Ovis aries: one gene and its partners. The protein of the gene in region 1 purifies or fractionates together with the protein of each later gene. This does not show direct contact. Links are inferred from orthologs where the notes say so. Each region holds a gene or a part of one and is shown on either strand. Other genes may lie near its edges.

Region 1 (4,115 bases):
GGGAGGCAAGAGTCCCTTGTGCTTCTTGGTATTTAGAGCAGGATGCAGGTCAGTTCCCAGGTCACTGAGATAGGGAGGTAAGGTGATACCTTGTCCCTAAAAGGGCCCGTCACTCACAGCTTGTTGTGACCAAATAAGTAGGTACGGTGTGATAGGATGGATCTTCCTTGAAAAGGAAAGAGATTAAGGCAATGGCAGCCAACTCCAGTACTCTTGTCTGGAAAATCCCATGGAGGGAGAGCCTGGTAGGCTGCAGTCCATGGGGTCGCTAAGAGTCGGACACAACTGAGCAACTTCACTTTCACTTTTCACTTTATGCATTGGAGAAGGACATGGCAACCCACTCCAATATTCTTGCCTGGAGAATCCCAGGGACACAGGAGCCTGGTGGGCTGCCATCTATGGGGTCACACAGAGTTGGACATGACTGAAGCGACTTAGCAGCAAGGGTATATGTAGCGCTCTATGTTGGGACATTCCAGAGGCTGGTATTTTTACCTGGCTCTAAGTCCACATAGGAAGAATTTGCCCACATTTGAAAAGGATAGAATGGGACCCCCTTAAAATATCCCCTCCTTAATCTTTTTTTAATTTAAGAAAATCTGGTGCTTCCCTACCCCTTGTGTTACCTCTAGCAACATCTCAGCCATTTTCTGAATGGCCCAAGTGCGTGAAGTTGGAAAGGGAGCTTCAGGCAGAGAGGCACCGAGTGGTGCCGAGCACAGACCTGCCAGTCAGAGCTGAGTCATGGTCTGAATCACAGGCCTGGCAGAGGAACCTCCAGCCCATCCCTTCCTGTCCTGCCTTCCCCCTTGCCCAGAAAGTGAAGGCCCCTCAAGTGTAGATTCATCCAGCAGAAGTCTACCTGTGGTTACGGTGGGGGTTGCCATGAGAACACCATTGCTTCTGGGCATGTGCCTTGTGGATTCTCCAAAGATTGCAAGAATTTCCTTTCAGTTTATGAGAATGGCTCACTTAGAGAGTGGAACTTTCCACTTGGAAATTAATGGACTTTGAACAACGAAAAAAGACCCAGGATGCTAGAAGATTGTTGAAAAGGAGGCATTTTCTTTGAAATTCTTTAAAATGACTAAAATTAATGTCTTTTAACATTTAAATGAATGGAACTTTCTCTTATGTGTCTTAATCCTTTTCAGAAAGAAAAAAAAAGCCAGGAAATCATAAATTTGTTAAGAACCTTTCATCACTTCTTTCTTTCTTAGAATTTATTTTTTAGGCCAGTTTTAGGTTCACAGCAAAATCAAGTGGAAAGTAGAGTGTTCTCATCTATCCCCCATCCCCACCATCAACACTCTAAGCTGAGCAGTAGTTAGAGTCAAACCTGCATTGATACGTTAACACCCAAAATCCATAGTTGACCTTCTTCGCCTAGACTAACCTTTGTTAGAGTCAAGCCTGTATTGACTTGTTATCAGCCAAAGTCCATAGCTGACCTTAGAGTCACTCTTACTTCCATCGCGTCTTCACCTCATCCAGAGCTGATGGATACAGAGAAAGCCAGGGGCTGGATACAAAGAACATGTGGCCTGCTGCTCACATAGTCGTGTGGTGACCCAAGCATGTAACCAAGTGTTACTGAGATACTTGGTTGGTTTTTTCCTCTTGAGTTGCCCTCACATCCCTGCACTCGCCAGTTCTCAGAGGGGAAATCCCTGATAGTTTCAAGAAGGCTGCCTGCACTTCCTGCTCCCCTAACCCTGTCTGCCCCATGTAACCGGATCTCTGCAGTACCTTTCCTGACCCCGTCTGTCCTCCAAGGACAGCTGCCACTTTCTGCTCCATAGTCTAGGCTTAGCCAGGCGGCCGGTTTCTGTATCTGCGGGACTGTGATTGGGTTCTAGTGTCATTAACTCTGCGCCTTTGTTGTCCTTATTCCTTTTCTCTTCCAGCCTGTCCTGTTAGGCAGAGAACCTCCAAATAGCATTCACTGCTGCCTGAGCAGAGGCACATGAGCTGTAGAGATTCCTCTTGAGCCATCGCCTTCCAAACTTGAAAGCTAGCAACGTGATCTCAGTTGTCTAAGGGAAGCTTAGCAACAGTGCTCTCTAGCAGGACTGTCTAAAATAGCTTGGTGTTTCCATGGGTTACTAGCTCCTAGAACATGACAAATCCCGCAAGTGGATTCATGGTGCTTCTGTTGGACTGTGTGGCTGGGTGTGGTCCATGGGCCAGCGGCAGGGCACCACCTGGGAGGTTTCAGAGATGCAGACTCAAATGTCCTGTCATGCCTCAGGAGCTGCATTTTAACCCACAGGTGCTGTGTGCGCATGTTAAAACTGGAGAAGCTCTGCTCCGGACCTTTCTCTTTAAACTAGAGAGATTCATCAGCTCTGCTGTAGGGTCTTCGGTATAAAGTCATAAAACCACGGGAGGCAGGAGGAACAGCCATCTGAGTCTCCCCGATGTTGGGAGGAAGTGACCATTTCCGGAGGGCCGATGCCCTCTGTGCCGGGAGGGATCTGGGAGCTATTGCCTAATCATTAGTAAACATTTTCCCCCTTCCCTTTCTCAACATCCAGGTCTCTTCAGAGCTGCTGTGCCCAGTGGTGCCTCAACTGGAATCTATGAGGCCCTGGAGCTCCGAGACAATGATAAGACGCGCTACATGGGGAAAGGTGAGCACAGACCCAGGCCAGCTCGGCGCTGGCTGATGGATGCCAGGGCCCCTGAGCCTGTAACCCAGGGCAGGCAAAAAGTTTCACTCTTCTTTCTCCTGCGATTTGTCTCCAGTCGTGAAGAACTCCTGGTTGGGCCAGGGAACGAGGGAGAAGAAGACACGTTAGCTAGTGCTCAGGAGAAGCCTCTCATCCTCCAGGAGGGCTCTGAGGGCCTTCCCAGCCGGCGGGCCTCTTCCCGAGGTGTGGTCTCAGGGGTTGGAGGCTGCCGACTCGTGATGGATAGAGCAGTCGTTGTCTCTCTAACAGAGCCGGCCTCTGGTGGTCCTGTGCCCATGTTCACCTTTCTGCAGATAGAACCCCAAACCCCAGAGGCCAGGTCGCAGAAAGGCAGATGGGGCTGGACTGCATTCTCCACGGAGTGGTGTCACCCCAGGGATGGGAATCGGTTCTGGAGAGAAGGCAGGAGCACAGGCTGTGTCATGGGTCGTGGCCCTCCCAAGGGCCACCCTGTAAGGAGGTGGAGGGCACGAGTGGGCTGCCAACTTTCCAGGGGAGGGAGCGGAGGAAAATAGTCTAGGGACACTGCATTGGAAGGGCAACAGCGAACGAGGTCAGGTTGAGGGGGACACAGGGCCAGGGTCAGAGCGGCTCCACTGCAGGCGGCAGCGTCTGTAAAGAGCTCTCCTGAGGGGTCTCGCTGGCAGCCCAGGTAGACGCCTGCCCAGGGCAGGAGGACCACGCCCCACCCCAGTTATGATGAGGACGAATGCATGGTCCCCCCGCCTTCTCCACACCTTCCTGTTTCCTCTTTCTCTCACTCAGCGTCCTTCACAAACCTGTTCTCTTCTGAGTCTTTCTTTTTTCCTTCTCTGTCAATCTCTGCTGGTCAGGTGTCTCCAGACCCGTTAAGTATATTAACGAGTTCCTGGCACCAGCCTTGTGCACACAGGTAATACACGGGGCGTCCTTTAGCCTCTGCGGCTGGCCTGTCCCGTGCATGCTCTTGCCAACTAACCTCCCTTCAGACACTGTTTGGCGGCTCTGTGTGTGGCTCTAACTCCTGGGGGTCCTAGGTAAGAGCACTCAGACTGGGCCAGAAAGCCCTCCGATTCCAGGGGGAGAGAGCCAGGGGTCCCGTTGAAGGTCTCTGGTGGGCTCTGAATATCTGGGTGAATATGGTGAGCGGTTCTCCAGCAGTGCTGCTCAAGCCTCTCTCATCAGCGTCGGTAATTTGATTTGATTATTCCTTCTAGGTGTCTCAAAGGCTGTTGAGCACATCAATAAAACTATTGCGCCTGCCCTGGTTAGCAAGGTAGGACCTGCCTCCTGATGACTAATGTATATTAATGCTATCAGAGCGCCGCCCAGTCCAGGCCGGGGGGCTTCCCTGTTTACAGAAGAGCTTATTCTGAGAGCTAAAGAAGCCGGTGGGCTTCCCTGCATGCGAATTTTGGCCTTTGCTGACCCGCCCTCTGC
Region 2 (4,721 bases), about 850 kb from region 1:
TGCAATCTTGTGATAAAACTTTATCTTCAGATGAGATGAGGTGTAACTTTTTACCGATGATTTCTTGAGTGGGAATCTACTCCTGGTGAAGATACTGTGAAATTGAAATGACGACAAAGGATTTATAATATGACATAAACTTAGCTGACAAAGCAGTAGTAGGGTCTGAGAGAATTCCAATTTCAAAAAAGCTTTGCTGTGGGCAAAATTTTACCAAATAGTATTGCGTGATAGAATGACTCCTTCCTGTAAGGCGAATGCAGAGAAAAAGAGAGCGAACCAAGCATTCAGGCAAGAAAAGAGAAATTTATTAGAGGGAAATGAGAGGTAGACTGGCCCTTGAGGAGAACCATTGTCCTCCCTTTCTGATGGGGTCTTTCTTATACGCCACCAATGAAAAATTTTCTGAAGGGATGGTTAACTTTTAGCCTGTAGTTGAGTCCTGGAGTCACGTAGCTGGAGGTCTGGAATCTGGTGGTCTTAAACCAGAATGTTATTTGGGCAATTTGGTCAGTCTCAAGGATCACTGTGATTTTATTCTTTGTTTGTGAGGGCAACACAATGAGCCATGTTAACAATGAGACCCCCACCCCCACCAGCAATGTGGGCCTTATCACTTCACGAAAGAGCCGCGTAACAAATTTTATTAAGAAACTGCCACGGCCACCCCCAACCTTCAGCAAGCATCACCCTATACTGTCAGTCATCAATATCCCAGGTTCCACCAGCAAAACTCTTCATCAGGAAAAAGATAGGACTCACCAGCTCAGTTGATGGCTAGCATTTTTTAAGGAATACTTTTAAAATAAAGCATATACTGTTATTAAGACATAATCCTATTGCATACTTTAACAGGCTACATATAACTTTCATCCCTGGAGAAACCCACTCCAGTATTCTTGCCTGGAGAATCCCATGGATGGAGGAGCCTGGTGGGCTACAGTCCATGGGGTCGCAGAGTCGGACACGACAGAGCGACTTCACTTTCACTTTCTATAACTTTCATGATGCACTAGAAAACCAAAAAAACTGTGGTCTGAAACCCAATCTAGTGTCCCTGACTTCGGTGTTCAGCTCCTATTCAAATCCTGTCGATGCAGTATTAAACTCTACTAAAAATACTATTTTGAGAACCAAATACACGTGAAATTAGCCACTAGCCAAATCAGTCACAGAGGAATTGGGGAGACCTTAAGGAGTCATAACAGAGCGGAGGTGACTGGACAACGCCCGCCAAGAAACAGAACAATGCAAAGAAAGCCCCTAGGACACAGAGGAAGCAAGAAGGAACTATTTTATTTTGTGAAAATGCGGGTTTAAAGCAAGCCCACGCAGCTCTCCAGACGAGCACAGCGAAAAACGTCTGGCTTGCGGCATGAAAAACGGGTTAAATTCAGCGCGCGCTGGGGGCACGCTGGGCCGTCCCTCGGATGCGGGAGATTTCGGGAGAATGCGTGAGTTTAGAAGATTCCGCTTTCTCTTGTTCCAAATGGAACCAGGCCTAGGCGTACAATCTACACGCAGAAAGGCAGGAGGTACCGCACGTCCCCCGAGGTTAGTTCGGCCGGATATGACATCACGTGGGGCGAGCTACGTGGGTTTGCGCAGTGCGGGGCTGAGGAGCCAGGCAGGGCGGCGCGCGCCTGCGCAGTGCGGGGCTGAAGACCAAGCCTGACAGCGCGCGTGCGTGCCGGCGTGCGCGCTTGCTGCGTCCCGGGTTGGTGCGGTACCGGCCCAGTCGTCACCGGCGCAGAACTGCGGACGGAACGGGCCGAGGCTGGCCGTCTGTGGGAAGAGAGGCGAGGTTCAGGTCTGGGCCATGGGGAGCGCAGCGCAAGCTCGGGCCGTGGGGGCACGGGCCGCCCGCTGGACCCCTAGAGGGTCCCCGAACCGGGGCGGACCCGGCCTGTGTCTAGCCGCGTCTGAGGAGGATGCGGTCTCCCAGGGTTCGCAGAGGGCGCCGTTCGCTCGCCAGCATAGTAGCAACGCTGAAGCTTCTAGAATTTGCCTGCATAACATCGCACCAGCTTGGAGCTAGTTAATCTTGTTTTTTTGACATCGTTTACTAAAATCTGTGTTGCATGCGAAACAAAGTCCAGAAAAATAGGCTAACAGCAATTCAGACCCCGGCATAGCGGCCGTCGTTTACAACGAGAGCTAAGTGCGAAGAATCTATCAGGATTGAGTGTAGCATGGGGGAATTACCATTTTTCTCCGTTTTTCTTTTTTTTTAAGCGTGTTCAAATATGTAACACTGTTAACCGCCCCCGAGAATTAAGTGCAGTTACTGGAACTAAAAAATAAAATCCCCTCCAAAAATCTCGGGGTGATTGCTAAAGACAGTATTTCTTTTTTTATCCATGAAGTTCAGTCTTCTCTGTAAAATAGTACTTGAAAAAAGGTGGTTTTGTATTTCTCTCTCCCTCTTGGAAAGCTTCATTTACAATATATTAGAAATTAGATTTTTATAAACGTGATGAAATCTGAACAGTAACCAACGTGCTGGCAATCTTGCTGTGATGTCATCTCAAAAAACAGGAACTGAAATTCTGTTTAAGTCAGTATTAACCAAATAATGCTGTTTTATTGTGTTTGCCTATCAAAATCTTTTCCCTGGGAAGCACTTGGTTACTCTGCTTAACAGTGTTCCTTAATCTTGTTTTTAGGTCTTGTACACTTGCAGTGAAAGTTTCTTGAAAATCTTGTTTTGAGTCTTTAATAAATACAACATAAAAATGGCTTCAAAAAGAGCTCTGGTCATCCTGGCTAAAGGAGCCGAGGAAATGGAGACAGTTATCCCTGTAGATGTCATGAGACGAGCTGGAGTAAGTCCCTCAAAGTTTTTTAGCCCTCCTCTGTTTGAAAGCATTTTTGGATTCTTATAAGTAATTTTGGATAAAGTAGTGTTGAATGTACTTTCTGAAATATTTCAAACATACGCAACAGTACAGAGGCTGTGTAATAATTATCTGCAGTTTAATATTGTTAACATTTTACTGTATTTCTTTCAGACCTGTTTCTTGAAGATACAGATGCTTTAGAGGAATAAACATTGCAAAGCTCTCTTTATTTCCCTAATTCAATTCCCTTTCTGGCCCCAGAAATAACTGCTTTCCTCACAGTGATGTGAATCCAGCCCAAGCGTGTCTAAAGTAACATTAGACTGTGGTTCTCACTCTGCATATCCGCATTATGAACCTTTATACGCCCACATAACCATAGTGAATGCTTACGTAGCCTTGACGGAATGGTGGATGCCATTCTAAGCACTTATACTAGTTTTTAAAACCTTAAAACCATCCTAAGAGTTATTGCCAACCTCATGTTACAGTTGAAGAAACAGGCGGAGAAGCAGTCAGTCAGTGAATCAAATATTTAAATAAGTGAACTAGTCACATTCTAGTAAAGAATATAGATGCAGTTTATTTAAAATTGCTGCTTAGTATTGCACTATGGGAATATGCCCAGTCTCCATTCCTCTATTGCATTGTTTTACAGCATTATAGTGCTGTAATACTCTTTTTTTTTTTTTTTGGTCGTTCTGGTTTTATTGAGATATAATCAACATATAGCATTGTGTAAGTTTAAGGTGTACAGCATACTTAAATCTATCATGAAATGATGACCACAATAAGTTTAGTGAATATCCGTCATCTTGTATCAATACGAAAGTAAAGAAGTAGAAGAAAAATATTTTTTCCTATGATGAGAACTCTTAGGAATTACTCTTAAAAACTTTTGCATATTACACACAACAGTATTAATTGTACCTATCCTGTTGTACATTAGTTTCTAATGCTTACTTATCTTATAGCTGAACATTTGTAATATTCTTGTGCAGGTTTTTCTTGTTTAAAGATATGAAAGTTTTTCTAGGCTCTGAGCCTAAAAGGAATTACTACTTGCATATATGATGTTACTAGATTTTGTCAAGTGACTCTCCAAAGTACTGATATGTGGGCCCACCAGCAGTGAGGAAAATTCCTATTCTCAGTATTGTCAACTTTGTGAATTTTTGCAGGGCAGCAGAGTAGTATTTCATTGTCTTAACTTGCATTTCTACCTTATGAAAATACCAGGAGGGTTAAATGGCAACAGCAACTTTGCAAGCTGTTTTATCGGTAGGATGATCATATGATTTATCACACAGACAAGAACACTTGTGGAAGAAAGGAGGCTAAGCAGATGGGGTACTGGGACAGCATCTTTAATTCATACTGTCAGACAAACTGGGACAGATCTAGTGGTTAAATAATATTTAGCCAACTTAATAACCTAAAGTCAGCATGGTTTTGTTGCAGTATTTCTTGCCAGGTTATTTTAAAACACAGGCCAGCTGTGAAAATGTTACTCTAAATTTATGTTCAGTGTTCTTAAATATCATGATGACGTCTTTCTCTTAGATTAAGGTCACCGTCGCAGGTCTGGCTGGAAAAGACCCGGTACAGTGTAGCCGAGATGTTGTCATTTGTCCTGACGCCAGTCTGGAAGATGCAAGAAAAGAGGTTTGTTCTCTAGACTTGGGATCGTTCCTTCTTACTGCTTCTTTATCAGTTTCTTGAACTCTGTCTTAACTACATCTGAAACTGTAATTAGCACAGCCTTGTTTTAAGAAAGTTACTTTGCTTGGAGGTCTTCAGCACTAAATTAAGCCCTGGGAATTGGAGAACTTTGCCTTTTTCCACTCTGTATCCTCAGAACCTGGCAGGTCCCTGACCTCA
Region 3 (4,722 bases), on another chromosome or scaffold:
GGGCTGAGTTTGGGGGCCCAGGCAGAGAAGGTTGCGAGCCTTTGCCCCCGAACCACCAGGGTCGAGTCCAGGGACCACATCAGAGAGACACACTAGAGGATGCCTGGGTCGTTCACCCTTTTCCCCACCCCCTTCCCCAGGTGGGTGATCTACAACGACCAGAAAGTGTGTGCCTCTGAGAAACCGCCCAAGGACCTAGGCTACATCTACTTCTATCAGAGAGTGGCCAGCTAAGAGCCTGCCCTGAGGGCGCCCCGGGGACAGACTGCCCAGCATGAGGAACGGGGCTGAGGGATGGACGCCTCCCTGCTCGGTACCCCTTTTCTTTTCGTCCCCAGCAGCAGGGAAGAAGCTAGAGGCCAGGAGAGAATGGCTAGGCAAAGCGTGGGGTGGGGGGGCTCCGGGGAGACCTTGGGAATGGAGTCGGAGGGGGCTGGAGGGGCCGGCCGCCTGTCTGTGAGGAGACTGTTGCTTCCCTGCCCTTGACCCCACAGTGCTCTGCTTCTCTGTGATCCCGCCTGCCCGGTGTGGAGCGGGCTTGTTCGTGTGTGTGCGTGGGTGTGGGTGGGCGTGTGTGTGTGTGTGTGTGTGGCGTGGGTGTAGCTTTGTGCCGCCTCCTCCACCAAGGGGGTTTCTGTGCCTCCCCTGCCCCTTTGTGTGTGCTCCCCGTGTGGCGGGGCCAGGAGGGATGTGAGGGAAATGGGAGCCAGCCCCCCTCGCCCTCCCGCCTCAGTCTTTGCCCCACCCTGTCTCTCCCTGTCCTACTCTGGAAAATGCCAAAATACAGGATGTGAATAAAAGTACAGTGGCTCAAGCGTGTCCTGTTTGATATCTCGGGGGAGACTGTCTTTCCTGGGTTAGCAGGAGGGTCAGGTTTTGAGAACTGCGGGCCCTGCTCCTCCATGCCACTCTGCGCCCCCTGCCTGCCCCCCTGGTAGGCAGTTCTATACTTTTTACTGCTCTTGGGAAATTGGGGGCTGAGTGAGGTGCTCACAGGGGCAGGAGGGGGAGCCTGAGGGGTGGGGGCTGTCAGATGCAGGGACATGGAGGAGGGCCACGTGAGAGGGGGCCCAAGTGGGTTCTTCTCGAGTGTCCCCAGGTGCCCAGTGGGGAGCCCTGGGCACCAGGCCTTGCAGTCCCTTGTCTGGCCCTGGCCGCTGGAGCAAAAAGTGAGGTACTCCTAGGGGCAAGGCAGACCTCTGAACTGCCTCTTTAGTCGCTGCGCGGTGTCCAGCCCACGTGGGTCGTCCCTCCGCCTGTGAACCCTGTTACTTGCCCAGTTAACTGTGGGGCTGGGCCGGCCCTGGGTAGGTCAAAGGTGCCTGCTCAGCAGTCAGGGATGTGGCCGCTCCGATGGGGGCAGGGGGGGGTTCCTTCTCCCGGAGTTGGAAAGATGCCCCTCACGGCTCTGAGGCCAAGCCTTGGAGTGGAGTGGAGTGTCCAGGCCTTCAGCCAGCCAGCGAGCGCCCCTGGGGATCCTTCTAGCCCTCTGCGGGGTGGGGGGCTGAAACCGTGAAGCGGGGGTTCTGAGCGCGGGGCGCACAGTTCGCGCCTTCTCCCCAAAGTAAGGCAATTCAAGCTGAAAGCGACCCAAGCGAGCCCGCGACGGCCGTGGAACGTTGCTACAAGAAAGGGGGTAACGTCAGAACCTCGCAACGCCGGCGGCGGGCGGGATCCGGGGCAGGGCTGCGGCGGGCGGCGGGCGGGGCCGGGGGCAGGGCTCCCGCGGACCGGGCCAGCCATGGACGAGGACGCAGAGGGGGCGGGTTTCTGCATCTCCGCGCTCTATATAAGCGGCCAGTGGAAGCGGGGGCGCGCTGCTCCTGACCTTCAGCGTGCCTGCTCCTTAGCCATGGCGCCCTCCAGGAAGTTCTTCGTTGGGGGGAACTGGAAGATGAACGGGAGGAAGAACAATCTGGGGGAACTCATCAACACTCTGAACGCGGCCAAGGTGCCGGCCGACACCGGTGAGCCCTGGCCGGGGAGGACTGGGGTGGGCAGTCGGGCGTGGTCGCCCTCTCCGGAACTCTCTTAGCCCGGGTCCGCGTGGCCCTGCGTGCAGGGCTGGGGTCCAGGACTGTCGGGATCTGGGCCTGAGCTCCGCGGCCGCTGAAGCGGGGGTGTTTCGGCGGGGAAAGGCGGGGCCGCATCTCACGGTGCCCTCTGGCTGTGGGTCCTGGGGAGGAGGGTGGCCCCGGGGCGCAGACGGGGCCTGCACCGGCTGGGACTGAAAGGTGAGCCCAGCCCCTGCGGGCGATCGGGAGAGGCCAGCGGCTGCCCGGTGCGTGGGGGTGGAGGCTGCCTGACGGCTCCGGCTGCCCCCTGGGCGCGGGCTCCGTGCGCCGCCGCACGTAGCCCGCCGGAGACTCCTCCCCGCGCCTTGCCGGGTCGGCAGAGTTCCCCTACCGAGCCGCGTCAGCCTCCTGAGCTATCGCTCCGATTCAGCCCGCTCGGCGGCCTGTAGGACTCCGGCCTTCCGTGGAAAGGGGTAGAGCCATTTGGGAATGAGGCGCGCTCCTACCGTTATCTCCAGCCTAAAAACGGGAAAGCGCAAGGCCTCTAGGAGCTGGTCGACTCGCTGCTACCCACGGCCTGCGTCCTTGTCCCCTCACCCACCTAAGTCACAGAACCTCGGGGCTGATCAAGAGGCATCCCCTTGTGGTTTATTCTCCCAAAGACCTTAGTAAAAACCCCAGGAGTTGGCTCCTTCTGCTTTTGCTGAAAATCCTGGCCTGGCCTGGGGGAGGTGGGGATGGGCTATTTTAGAAGGGAGGCGGGGTTGGCCCCCAGAGAATGCTGAGTCTAAGAGGTGCCCAGGCCCAGAATAGCCTGGGGAAATCAGAGCCACAGCTGCTAAAGAGCAGAGGGCAGGGCAAGGGCCATGGCCTCTCAGGGCTACCTGGGAGGCTCAAAGACTTGGGTACAGGCCCAGCCTGGGCTGCAAAGTGGACAGAGATGATCGTGCTGGGGTGAAAAAGCGCAAAAGCAGAACTAAGAAAGTGGTGAAGGCGAAGGGACTCTGGAGCACGGGATGGGGTCTGGTGAATGAAGATTTCCTTGTGATCTCATCCTGTCTGTCACCATCTCATCCTCAGAGGTAGTTTGCGCACCCCCCACCGCCTACATTGACTTCGCTCGGCAGAAGCTAGATCCCAAGATTGCCGTGGCTGCGCAGAACTGTTACAAAGTGGCCAATGGGGCCTTTACAGGGGAGATCAGGTAAGATGCTAGTGGCAGAGGGGTGGGAGGGGGACCCCCAGCCCTCACTGTCCTTATGGAGGGGACAGCGACAGGGTGGGCTCCTTGCTGAACCACGGCTTTTCTCTTCCTTTAGCCCTGGCATGATCAAAGATCTTGGAGCCACGTGGGTAGTCCTGGGGCACTCTGAGAGAAGGCATGTCTTTGGGGAGTCAGATGAGGTTAGTAACGGGGGAGGGGGGAGGAGATGAGGGCTGGCTTGTTCCTAGACGGGTGCTCACCAAGTCTGTTCCTCAACAGCTGATTGGGCAGAAAGTGGCCCATGCCCTGGCAGAGGGACTTGGAGTGATCGCCTGCATTGGGGAGAAGTTAGATGAGAGGGAAGCTGGCATCACTGAGAAGGTCGTTTTCGAGCAAACCAAGGTCATCGCAGGTATCTCTGGAGAAAGGGGCCTTTGAGCCCAGGGCTATGAGACGCAGAGGGTGGGGTCGGATGCCCTGCAGCCTGAGCCTGTCTGGTGCTGATGCAGGAAAGGGGAGGGTGGGAATCCTGTATCCTTCCTATTACTTCTACTCCTGCCTCTAATGTCACTTTCCCATAGTAGCCACCAGGGGGCAGTAGGCCACCAGCACTCTTATTCTCTAGGAAACAACTGGTTATGTTCTTCCTTGTTTTCACCCTGCCACCTGTGATCTCTGTCCCACAGATAACGTGAAGGATTGGAGCAAGGTTGTCTTGGCCTATGAGCCTGTGTGGGCCATTGGTACTGGCAAGACGGCGACACCCCAACAGGTAACCAAGCCCAGGAGCCCTGTCCTCATCCTCCCCTGTCTTGATAGAACTGGATGGCCACAGCGACCACCTGGGCCAACCCATTTAAAAGACAGGAGAGGGACTTCCCTGGAGGTTAAGCCTCCGCTGCAGGGGGCACTGGTTTGACCCTAGTCAGGGAACTAAGATCTCGAATGCTACATGTCAATCCTGCATGCTACACGTGAAGACTAAATAAATAATAAAAGGAGAAAAGAGAGTTACTTGTCCCAGGATACTCATTCCAGGGCCTGGGTGGGATCGAAGCCCCAGGGTTCTTGCCTGCAAACCACATTGCCTGTCTCCACTGGAGCCCAGTGTTTTTTCCCCAGTGAATGGAGGTCTTAGTCTGACTTCTTGTTCTAGGCCCAGGAAGTACACGAAAAGCTCCGGGGATGGCTTAAGTCCAACGTCTCTGATGCAGTGGCTCAGAGCGCCCGCATCATTTATGGGGGTAAGTGGGTTTGGCTCCAGCCTGAGGTGGGGTGGGCTGAGAACCAGACCGAGCCCTCCTTCAACCTGGAGGCCGGCGTGGAGTACCCCCATCTCATCGCTGACCAGTCCTGCTCTTGTCTCCCTTCCCAGGTTCTGTGACGGGGGCAACCTGCAAGGAGCTGGCAAGCCAGCCTGATGTGGATGGCTTCCTTGTGGGCGGTGCTTCCCTCAAGCCTGAGTTCGTCGACATCATCAATGCCAAACAATAAGCCCTGTCC

The links. Proteins that work in one complex are often made in the same cells at the same time.
Region 2: the proteins of ENO1 (region 1) and PARK7 fractionate together in Homo sapiens (co-fractionation; 3 studies listed by BioGRID). This does not show direct contact. The link is inferred for Ovis aries from reciprocal best matches to the Homo sapiens genes ENO1 and PARK7.
Region 3: the proteins of ENO1 (region 1) and TPI1 fractionate together in Homo sapiens (co-fractionation; 4 studies listed by BioGRID, with this or other methods). This does not show direct contact. The link is inferred for Ovis aries from reciprocal best matches to the Homo sapiens genes ENO1 and TPI1.

What each region holds. Positions count from the first base shown.
Region 1 is NC_056065.1:43,924,994-43,929,108, forward strand, and holds part of ENO1 (alpha-enolase), read left to right. Parts: intron 1-2,540; coding exon 2,541-2,636; intron 2,637-3,892; coding exon 3,893-3,951; intron 3,952-4,115. UniProt on the Homo sapiens protein: Glycolytic enzyme the catalyzes the conversion of 2-phosphoglycerate to phosphoenolpyruvate. In addition to glycolysis, involved in various processes such as growth control, hypoxia tolerance and allergic responses.
Region 2 is NC_056065.1:44,774,070-44,778,790, reverse strand, and holds the start of PARK7 (Parkinson disease protein 7), read left to right. Parts: upstream 1-1,736; 5' UTR 1,737-1,810; intron 1,811-2,666; 5' UTR 2,667-2,735; coding exon 2,736-2,825; intron 2,826-4,403; coding exon 4,404-4,505; intron 4,506-4,721. UniProt on the Homo sapiens protein: Multifunctional protein with controversial molecular function which plays an important role in cell protection against oxidative stress and cell death acting as oxidative stress sensor and redox-sensitive chaperone and protease.
Region 3 is NC_056056.1:209,419,708-209,424,429, reverse strand, and holds the start of TPI1 (triosephosphate isomerase), read left to right. Parts: upstream 1-1,737; 5' UTR 1,738-1,741; coding exon 1,742-1,967; intron 1,968-3,095; coding exon 3,096-3,219; intron 3,220-3,334; coding exon 3,335-3,419; intron 3,420-3,498; coding exon 3,499-3,631; intron 3,632-3,905; coding exon 3,906-3,991; intron 3,992-4,375; coding exon 4,376-4,463; intron 4,464-4,594; coding exon 4,595-4,713; 3' UTR 4,714-4,722. Other genes in the region: USP5 (ubiquitin carboxyl-terminal hydrolase 5), read left to right, coding at 141-234. UniProt on the Homo sapiens protein: Triosephosphate isomerase is an extremely efficient metabolic enzyme that catalyzes the interconversion between dihydroxyacetone phosphate (DHAP) and D-glyceraldehyde-3-phosphate (G3P) in glycolysis and gluconeogenesis.